3 linked regions of the Xenopus tropicalis genome follow. The protein of the gene in region 3 interacts with the protein of the main gene of each other region in a pairwise test. Links are inferred from orthologs where the notes say so. Each region holds a gene or a part of one and is shown on either strand. Other genes may lie near its edges. The genes, in order: serpine1, eva1b and sgta.

Evidence for each region.
Region 1: the proteins of sgta (region 3) and serpine1 interact in binary tests that used the Homo sapiens proteins (3 or more experiments, as listed by UniProt). The two-hybrid records come from large-scale screens. The link is inferred for Xenopus tropicalis from reciprocal best matches to the Homo sapiens genes SGTA and SERPINE1.
Region 2: the proteins of sgta (region 3) and eva1b interact in binary tests that used the Homo sapiens proteins (3 or more experiments, as listed by UniProt). The two-hybrid records come from large-scale screens. The link is inferred for Xenopus tropicalis from reciprocal best matches to the Homo sapiens genes SGTA and EVA1B.

What each region holds. Positions count from the first base shown.
Region 1 is NC_030679.2:143,401,223-143,404,979, reverse strand, and holds the start of serpine1 (plasminogen activator inhibitor 1), read right to left. Parts: upstream 2,247-3,757; 5' UTR 2,150-2,246; coding exon 2,133-2,149; intron 1,226-2,132; coding exon 981-1,225; intron 797-980; coding exon 551-796; intron 1-550. UniProt on the Homo sapiens protein: Serine protease inhibitor. Inhibits TMPRSS7. Is a primary inhibitor of tissue-type plasminogen activator (PLAT) and urokinase-type plasminogen activator (PLAU).
Region 2 is NC_030678.2:85,067,903-85,071,659, reverse strand, and holds the start of eva1b (eva-1 homolog B), read right to left. Parts: upstream 2,440-3,757; 5' UTR 2,286-2,439; intron 1-2,285.
Region 3 is NC_030677.2:99,263,007-99,266,626, reverse strand, and holds part of sgta (small glutamine-rich tetratricopeptide repeat-containing protein alpha), read right to left. Parts: intron 3,326-3,620; coding exon 3,226-3,325; intron 2,591-3,225; coding exon 2,486-2,590; intron 2,408-2,485; coding exon 2,269-2,407; intron 2,191-2,268; coding exon 2,128-2,190; intron 894-2,127; coding exon 856-893; intron 1-855. UniProt on the Homo sapiens protein: Co-chaperone that binds misfolded and hydrophobic patches-containing client proteins in the cytosol. Mediates their targeting to the endoplasmic reticulum but also regulates their sorting to the proteasome when targeting fails.

The sequences.
Region 1 (3,757 bases), on a different chromosome or scaffold from region 3:
CTCAGGGGCAACATGTTGCTCCCCAACCCCTTGGGTGTTGCTCTCAGTGCCCCCAAACCAGGGAGTTATTTTTGAATTCCTGACTTGGGGTCAAGTTTTGGTTGAATAAAAACAAGATTTCCTACCAAATAAAGCCCCTGTAAGCTGATAGGGTGCATAGAGGCCCCTAATAGCCAATCACAGCCCTTATTTGGCTCCTCCATGAACTTTTATGGTGCTTGTGTTGCTCTCCAAGTCTTTTTACATTTGACTGTGGCTCCCGAGTAAGAAAGGTTGGGGACCCCTGTGCTATAGGGTATGAAGGCGATAAGATCACTAATCAAAGAATAGTGCTGACCTGGTCCTATGAATGTTCTAATGGTCTAACTATCTACAAGGTGGTCTTGCCCAGCTATTTGTTATTTTAATATTGAAAGTAATTATATATTCCATCTCTTGACTTTGTAAATAAGGTAAACGATGAAGCAAATAAGGTTGACAGTAGAACAGTTGATTGCTAATATATACTCCAACATAAGAGATATATATAATTGGTAATAGTAATACTTACCATCTGTCTTGTTCTCTACCCATTGATTTATGATGTCCTTGGCTTGGGCCACATCAGTAAAATTGACCTGGCTGAGGTGTCGGTGGAAAGTTGCTTGAAATCTTTGGAGAAAGCCTGGGGTCAGCGACAGGTCCCGCTGTACAAAGAGACCATCTGCAATGTGTACCGGCTTGGGGTCTTCAGCAGATTTTTGCTGTCCAGAAATCTGCTCCCGAAGTTTATTTAGTGCCAAGGCCACTGCCCATTCTGCACAGGAAGGAAAGATAGTAACTTTGATTATTCTACCTCTATAGAAAATTGTTGATTGGTGTGGATGGATTACTTTGCAGGCAGATTTGCCCAGTGACACCAGTATTTTTATCTACAGGTTTTTTATATTTACTAATTGCTAATTAGGCATATTTGAGTATTGAGTGTTTGCCCACCGTACCTTTATGTCCATAATTTAGAGCTTTGCGAATCTGATCCAGTGTCGTCCCAGCTGCACCCGACTGAAGGACACTCAAGGCAGAAGTTACCCCATAAGGCGAGAAGCCCAGGTTCTTTCCCCATTGGTCTGCAAGAACCTCTTGGAACAAGCGTAACCCAAAACTTGTGCCTTTCTGAGCCACACGAGACACTCTGTTTTGGGCAGACGTGACTGATGCCAGGGAAAGTAAGACGACTATCATGCACCTGTGGAGAGGAATAAGGAGAAGTTCAAGAGAAAGTACGAGAGAGAGATCATGCACCTGTGGAGAGGAATAAGGAGAAGTTCAAGAGAAAGTACGAGAGAGAAATCATGCACCTATGGAGAGGAATAAGGAGAAGTTCAGGAGAAAGTACGAGAGAGAGATCATGCACCTATGGAGAGGAATAAGGAGAAGTTCAGGAGAAAGTACAAGATAGAGATCATGCACCTATGGAGAGGAATAAGGAGAAGTTCAAGAGAAAGTACGAGAGAGAAATCATGCACCTATGGAGAGGAATAAGGAGAAGTTCAGGAGAAAGTACGAGAGAGAGATCATGCACCTATGGAGAGGAATAAGGATAAGTTCAGGAGAAAGTACAAGATAGAGATCATGCACCTATGGAGAGGAATAAGGAGAAGTTCAGGAGAAATGCACCTATGGAGAGGAATAAGGAGAAGTTCAGGAGAAAGTACGAGAGAGAGATAATGCACCTATGGAGAGGAATAAGGAGAAGTTCAGGAGAAAGTACGAGAGAGAGATCATGCACCTATGGAGATGAATAAGGAGAAGTTCAGGAGAAAGTACGAGAGAGAGATCATGCACCTATGGAGATGAATAAGGAGAAGTTCAAGAGAAAGTACGAGAGAGAGATCATGCACCTATGGAGATGAATAAGGAGAAGTTCAAGAGAAAGTACGAGAGAGAGATCATGCACCTATGGAGAGGAATAAGGAGAAGTTCAGGAGAAAGTACGAGAGAGAGATAATGCACCTATGGAGAGGAATAAGGAGAAGTTCAGGAGAAAGTACGAGAGAGAGATCATGCACCTATGGAGAGGAATAAGGAGAAGTTCAGGAGAAAGTACGAGAGAGTAAGGCAACAATATCACTCCAAGAGATTCAAGGACTCGCCTTAAGTTGCGTGACATTTTGTCTGTTGCTCCTGGTGTTCTGTAGATGACAGCAAGGCTATTATTTCTGTGCAGCTGTTTCCCTGCAAGCTTCTGGCTGCTGTGGAATAGGCTCACACGTAGCCCTGTATTTATACTTCCTCCTACCCCTGACATCGCCGGGGTGTTTCCCAACACATGTGGAAACCACATGTTCAGTCTAGAGTGCCAAAGATGAATAATGGGATCGGCCTCTAGATTGCGACCAATGGGAGCAGAGTGCTTCTGTCTGTCTGTGCAAGTGTGAGAATGTCTGTGTGTACAAAGGCACAGCGAGCCCGCTGTCAGCCAGAGGAATTCCTTGGAAAAAATTCTGACGCTGTCCCTCTAGCCACCCCAGCCTAAGCTTGTTTCTATGGTTATAGTTTATTTAATATTTCAGGTCACTTGTCTAATACACAGAAAGCCCATTTATTTGGAGATGGGTGATAAGTTCATAGAAGTGCAAAGTTAATGTTATGACTTCATAGCAACTTAAAGTAAATAAACAGTCTAGTGTATTAAACCAGATGGGACAAAACCAGTCTATTTTTAGCTTATTGATTACAAGTTCTGCCCCCAATAAGGGGTAATTATATCTTAGTTGGGATCAAGTACAGGTACTGTTTTATTATTACAGAGAAAGGGGAATCATTTAACCATGAAATAAACCCAATAGGGCTGTTCTGCCCCAATAAGGGGTAATTATATCTTAGTTGGGATCAAGTACAGGTACTGTTTTATTATTACAGAGAAAAGGGAATCATTTAACCATTAAATAAACCCAATAGGGCTGTTCTGCCCCCAATAAGGGGTAATTATATCTTAGTTGGGATCAAGTACAGGTACTGTTTTATTATTACAGAGAAAAGGGAATCATTTAACCATGAAATAAACCCAATAGGGCTGTTCTGCCCCAATAATGGGTAATTATATCTTAGTTGGGATCAAGTACAGGTACTGTTTTATTATTACAGAGAAAAGGGAATCATTTAACCATGAAATAAACCCAATAGGGCTGTTCTGCCCCAATAAGGGGTAATTATATCTTAGTTGGGATCAAGTACAGGTACTGTTTTATTATTACAGAGAAAAGGGAATCATTTAACCATGAAAAAAACCCAATAGGGCTGTTCTGCCCCAATAAGGGGTAATTATATCTTAGTTGGGATCAAGTACAGGTACTGTTTTATTATTACAGAGAAAAGGGAATCATTTAACCATTAAATAAACCCAATAGGGCTGTTCTGCCCCCAATAAGGGGTAATTATATCTTAGTTGGGATCAAGTACAGGTACTGTTTTATTATTACAGAGAAAAGGGAATCATTTAACCATTAAATAAACCCAATAGGGCTGTTCTGCCCCAATAAGGGGTAATTATATCTTAGTTGGGATCAAGTACAGGTACTGTTTTATTATTACAGAGAAAAGGGAATCATTTAACCATGAAATAAACCCAATAGGGCTGTTCTGCCCCCAATAAGGGGTAATTATATCTTAGTTGGGATCAAGTACAGGTACTGTTTTATTATTACAGAGAAAAGGGAAATCAGTTTTAAAATTCTATATTATTTGTTTAAAATGGAGTCTATGGGAGACGGGCTTT
Region 2 (3,757 bases), on a different chromosome or scaffold from region 3:
TAGAAGCATGTGTATGGCTCTGCTCCATATGGTAGCACAATACTTTACTGTATTGCATGATACTGCAGCACAACTGGCCTGGCTGTACACTGGCTTGAATAACAGGGTTCTTTCACCATGTGCCTTCAGAGACAGAACTCGTGTAGAAGTGGACCTCAAGAAATTCCTTCTGTGACTATCCATTTCACTGTGTAAGGATTTGTTAAGGTAAGCTTCTGCACTTTTCTGATTCCAGTTTTAGTCAGGCACGTGTATGTATGAATGTATGTATGTATGTTTGTATAACTTATGTGAAACAACAAAGCATTTGTAAGGAGGAACACTGAAACACCTAATACCACACTGTGCCACCTTACAAATGGAACAAAATGATAGAGTTCTACACCGTACAATATATTTTAAAACAAAAATATAATGATACATGGCAGATTTCCAACTGGTTGACTTGTCTAGAAATCCTGTAATCTATATGATGGTATGACTGTATGATGCCTTAATCTCATTATTTCCAATAAAGCAATAGTGGCTACATCAGACCACATACAATTCTCCAAATAACTACACAGTGTAGTTCACCTTATCAAAAAAGTTTTGTTTTTTTTTAAAGAAAAAAACTCCAGCTCACGCATGCTTTAATTCACTGGAAGGATATTGACTTACACATGACACCCCTTACTCATCTCATACAAGCATTAGGAACTGTGGCATCCTTTGATGATTTGACCTCCTTTGGGAGCAACCACTTCAAAACTATTTGTGAATGAGTTGATCAGCTGATCAAATGGGTGTGAAGTGCTTCCTTATGTGACAAGAGTGTCTTTTCACCCCCTGCAGCTGTCTGGAAGTCCTGGGTGGATGTATGCTGGGATGCATGCCCTGACAGCTGGGCGTCACCCTTTTCCTTTCCTGGCATAGTACAGCTGCTATCTGTCACAAACCGAGAACTGGAAGACCATAATATTGCAATGACTGAGAGGGGACAAAAACAACTCCCGCAGCCTCCCACATAGACATACCTTTTTTCAACATAAAATATTATACATACTAAATAAAATATAGAAAGAGAGAGATAGAGTGAGAGAGAGAAACAGAGAGATTATAATATATACTTTCTGAACTTGCACACTACTATATAGAAATAAGGAAAATCCCCTAGCTACCAAATCACAAGCCCCTTAAAATAGTCCTCCGTATGCTCAGGGCATATATAGTTGCATCTTGAACTACCATATTGATGGTTCGAACTGCCAGCTTGATAAAAATGAAACCTGTAACGCTGGCTTGTACAGTTCCTGAGAAGTAGCCACTGTAAGTGAACCCTATCTACTGGTGAGTTGCAGCCGCAACTAGCCACAAATAGATTTAATTATACCAAATGTGTCAGGTCACACTATCACTATGAACTAACATTCACACCGCATATAATACAATTTTTTATCCAGTCGCATAAAGTTGTAGATACAAAGTCACATGTTCCCTCAGAAAGATATCCATAAACATAAATGCACCCGAATACCACTATAAATTTGCACCACTCTACATACATTGGTTTGAATGCTGTGATATATACATGAATAAGTCTATCATTAATGTGTGTGACTAGCTGGCCTTCACATTATCCATTCAGCGCACTTCTGTTTCACAGTAATTGAGTTGAGATAAATTCCCAGATTTGCTACATACAGGTGTGGTATCCCTTATCCGGAAACCCGTTATCCAGAATTACGGAAAGGCTATCTCCCATAGACACCATTATAAGCAAATAATTCTAATTTTTTTAAATGATTTCCTTTTTCTCTGTGATAATAAAACAGTACCTTATACTTGATCCCAATTTAGATATAATTAATCCTTATTGGAGGCAAAACAAGCCTATTGGGTTTATTTAATGTTTAAATGATTTTTAGCAAACTTAAGTTATGGAGATCCAAATTATGGAAAGATCCCTTATCCAGAAAACCCCAGGTCCCGAGCATTCTGGATAACAGGTCCTATACCTGTACAGTGTGGGTCCCACATAAGCCCAGAGCAATGTGCTGTATATTTCACACAAATAAGTGTCAAGAAGGCAAACTTATGTTAAAAAATGTACTAGGGTCTTCTAACCCCTTAAGAAGGGGTTACTGGGGGAAAAAAAACTTTTTTATAATAAAGTTTTTTCTCTCAATTATATGTTTTCATTTAGGATATTCTAAAAATAAGCATATATTCCGAGAACAATTAATATAGTTATCTCAGCAGAATAGCTCCACCTCTCCACATATATTCATATATTCAGTACTCACCCTGTGAAACTTAACTGCAGGGTATCCTGGTATGGCTGCGACTGTAACGCTGGAAATCCCTTTTAGATTCCCTCTGTACAGATACTGTGTCTCTTCATGCCGGGCTCTGTTTGTGTGGCAGTGTCATTGCGATGCAGCAGCCATTGACTTTCCAGTCCGAGACGAGTATGTGTCCCAACTGCTCTGAGCGGGACTGTGAGAGTAATGAAAGCACAGCCCGCCCTCCGCCTCTATCCCGTCCCCCTCCCCTCCATCCAGATGTAGTTTAGCCATAAACTCCTGGCTGCTTACAGGAACTGAGCTAGTACAAGCCAGCTAACCGGGCTTTCCAAACCGCACAGCCTCTTCTCATTTACCTTTTCCTATCAACAGTACCACACAAACATGTAGGAACTAATGCCCTCTAACTACATGTGCTGTTCACTATACCGTCTATATTAGATTTCTACCCTTCCTTTACTAAATAGTCAGTTTTAGGCATAGCACAACAATGAGGGCTGCTTTGATAATTAATTTTATAAATTGAACCATACAAATATTTCATTAGTTGGTGGCATATTGCTGCTGTTGGACAATCAAGAATCACATTGTGACAAGAACACCAAAACATAAGGGTTTAGTTTCACTGATTTCAATGAGAGATGCTACACATCAACATCAAATGCAGACAGAAGTGTAGAGATGTGCTATGCACACAAAGCTTTTGTGCTCAACAGGAAATTAAAAAATACAATTCTAATACTATTTAGATAATTAATTTTGTAAATTGAACCATACAAATATTTTATTAGTTGGTGGCATATTGCTGCTGTTGGACAATCAAGAATCACGTTGTGACAAGAACACAGAAACATAAGGGTTTAGTTTCACTGATTTCAATGAGAGATGCTACACATCAACATCAAATGCAGACAGAAGTGTAGAGATGTGCTATGCACACAAAGCTTTTCTGCTCAACAGGAAATTAAAAAATACAATTCTACCTGATATTTGCTGTTTCAAACTATGTGCCCTAAACATTACACTGTCAGTTGTTTCACTCATCAATTAAAGGTAAAACTAACTGTGATTACATAATTAGTTATCTCATTCTTTTTATTTAGACTGGGGGATGCTACCTAGGGGGGCAATTGTATAATTTATTACTTTTATATTTATGTTTTAACCACACATGTTATGGTTTCTGCACAATAATGAGCTTTCAAGGAACATCCAAAAGTCTGCTGATTAATACTGTTTTGGCTACAAATGCCTTGTCATTAACTGTGGCGTGTCTTAAGGTTGCCAAACAAAACAAATGCATACAAATTAAGAGACGAGAGGTCAAATCTTTATTAAAACATTATTTAAGCAGTCCCCTCAACAGCACCAAACTGTGGTTTGCTGTTAATATATCAAGTAAATGCCTGACCTAACTGGCTTTCTCTTCTTTGCACAGACTGAGGGGCCCCACCGTAGGGCCATCCTGCAGA
Region 3 (3,620 bases):
GGTAAGTTATTACAATCAATGGGAGTACCTAACGTTTGGAACCCCCCAGTGATTTAGACTTTCCTTCTCCTTTAATATGCTAATACATGGCTGAAATGGTATCAGTTCAATTCAGTTGGTGTAGTAGAAAATCCGAGTAGCCTCATCCTAAACCCAAATCTTCAGTTGTACCCCACACATATTGGCTGTCATGTTCACTGGCAAAACAGATTTCAGGCAAACCTTAAAGGAAAACTATACCCCCAGAATTAATACTTAACTAACTATAAACCAGCACAAGTTTACATTATGTTATCTATTAAAGAACTCGCCATACTGGAATATATATATCAGTAAATATTACCCTTTTACATCCTTTCCCTTGATCCACTATTTAGTGATGGTCCGTGTGCCCCCTCAGAGATCACATGACCAGAACTAATGCAGCTCTAACTGTAACAGGAAGAAGTGTGGCTGATGGGGCCTACCATGTATGTGTGCCTTGGTTTGTTTGTGTGCACTGTGAATCCTATGATTCCAGGAGGTGGCCCTTAATTTTTAAAATGACAATTTTCTATTTAGCAGTACCCAATAGCCTATAGTACTAAAAAAGTATATTTTCATGAAAATGGTTTATTTAGATGAAGCAGGGTTTTACACATGAGCTTGTTTATGCATTATATTTTTATAGAGACCTACATTGTTTGGGGATAAAGTTTTTGTTTAAAATAATAATGCCCCAAGTCTATTATAAAGAGCCTATTTACTAAATGTGTGGTTAGAAAAAAGCTGTGTACTGAATCTCACTGTCTACACTTCCTATAGCTGTACAATTTAAATCTGAAAAATGTAAAGACTTAATGTAATACAACTTACAGTTGCTGAACTTGGGGGTTATTCATAAGATTTGACGCCTACAGTGAAAAGACATAATAGTGAAAATGCTGTAAGTTCTACATGCACAAAGGCTTTTAGACTTATAGCAGACAGATGGAGAGAGAAAAGAAAATCTGCACTGTACACAATTGTTCTTGGTGACACTGGACTTGATGATTTAGAACAGTGCTGTCCAACTGGCGGCCCGCGGGCCGCATGCGGCCCGTGACCCCCCTCTGTGTGGCCCCCCACCTGTCTGGCTGCTTTGATGGCTTACTCTTGTGTAAACTTTAAATGGTATCAGTACTGAGATTAGCTGGCCCCCTGCATGGTTCTCACCTCAGATTCAGGCTGTAATCCCCCTGTATTGTTTAAACATGTAATCCCCTGAGTTGTTCACACCTTTTAATCTCTGCATTGTTCCCCCTGCAGTGTTGACACCTCAGGCTCAGGCTGTAATCACCCCCATTGTTCCCCTGTTCACACCTCAGGAGCAGTAGAAACCCACAAATAATCCCTGCACACTACAAAAAGAACATATACTGAGCTGGTACTGCAAATAAAAAATTTTAATATATAGTTATTGTGCAGACTGTAGGAGCAGTGCCAGCATTGTGTCACTGTAGGCTGCCTGTGTGTGCCATACACACAGGCAGCATAAGGCAAGCAGAGTATGGCACACACAGGCAGAGTAGGGCAGGCAGAGTATGGCACACACAGGCCAAGTTTGGCACAAACCAGCCAAGAATGGCACACACAGTGAAAGTATGGCACGCAGGCAGGGTAGGGCAGGCAGAGTATGGCAGGTTTTTGCTGTACTACAACCATTAATATGGGTATGGTCATGTGATAACATGGGTGTGGTTTCAAGTGGGTGCGGTTTCAAAAAGGGGAGTGGTCAAAACTGGCTTCCATTATCGGCCCTCCACCACGTAGGCCGGAAAAATTCCGGCCCTCGGTACAACAGAAGTTGGACAGCACTGATTTAGAACAATAAGTATTCTATAAATGTTAGTACACCATCTTTGTGTATTGCTCAATTTAGATGGTGCTGGTTTTTGCACAATAAGACTACTAGTCAATTAAAGTAAAATGACGGTGAACCAATATATTCAAGCATCTCAAGCATTTTTTTGTACAAAAATTAATTAAATTAATAATAAATATATAAAACATCTATATAATGACAATTTTAGCTCCATATTATGCCCCTATTCTCAAATTAAGAGAAGAAAATACAATCTTGATAAAAACACTAAAGAGGATACTTACCATGCTCATAAAGCCTGGGTTATTGAGCAAGCCAGCCAAATCAAAACCTCCAGGAGCAGCCATCTAGATGAAATTAAAGATCCTGTTAGATTACTTATAAAAACAGATCTCCCCACCACAGGATAAACAAAGAATACTCACTGGGCTGGGCAGCTCTTTCATTTTCTGTTCTGCAATCTTTAGGTTTGATTTGTAGGTTTCATTGTCTGGATCCAGTATCAGGGCTTGTTTGTAAAAACCTACAGCTTCTGCATGTTTATTCAAGCTTGAAAGTGCCAGTCTAAAAATATTAAAAAAGAATGGTTTAAAAACATTTCTTCCATAATTGTAAGGTAAAGTAACTTAAACAGGAACATACCCCATTCTGCCATAAGCTTTGCTGTAGTTAGGGTCAATTGTAATTGCCTCTTCACAGTCCCTCACAGCTCCAGCATAGTTGCCCAGTTTGCTGTAAGCTGCAGCCCTGTGTAAAAAGACACGCAATATAGTGATTAATAATGCCTTGTTTTGCAACTGTTGCAGATACATGACATGACAAATGAAACCAGAAGCTTTTATGTAAAAGTTGTGTGCAAAAATATGTTACTAATGTTACTAAAGACAAAAACAGGCACAAATTACTGAACAGAACAGTACATTTTAATATATATATATATATATATATGTATGAAATTTCTAAATTAAATATTAAAGTGTTATGGACAGCCACTTGAACATTTTTTTTACACCTGCTGTTGTGTTTTAATTTGTATCAGCTTTAAATTCCTTAGAACCTAAATCTGCAAAGTTTTTTCGCTTCATAATTATGGTAGCATGAGACCCATGGAGCAGCCATGTTTGTTCCCCTCTTCCGGGTTTTAATTGAAATGCCTCCCAAGTGAATAAATATGCCCAGTCACAAACCTGCAATGCCCCTTCTGCTTTCAGCGGTGTGTGACAAACTCAGCTCCGTTGTCTATGTGTAATGGTGGGGGAGGGAGTGCCCTTAGAAGCAGACAGGCAGGCACGGGAAAGGTTAAGCTTGCCTGCTATTTAATTCTTCGTGGGAAGAGCAGAGATATATACACACACACATATTTCTTGTATGTAGATACATACCTGTTGCAGTAGTACACAGCATTTGTTGGGTTCAGTTCAAGAGCTTTTGAGTAGTAGGAAATAGCACTTTCAAAATTTTCTAATTTCATTTGCTCATTGCCTAAGAAAAACAAGATTCTCTGCTCATCTAATGGTACATACACCAAAAACTACCTCTGGCCACAATAATTAAAACACAGATACAGGTTTAAGAAAAGTAATAACATGACAGTAATTCTTTCTCTTTCTATTAATTGATATCAAAATTGCCTTGAGTCTGCAAACTCAGCTTCAAAGTTTTTGAAAAACAGATTTCAATACAGGATTCTGCTCGAGAAGCTCTATTAACTGATGAGTTTTGAAAAAGAACATGTTTTCCCATGACAGTATTCCTTTAAAAAGCAGCTGGAGGTCAA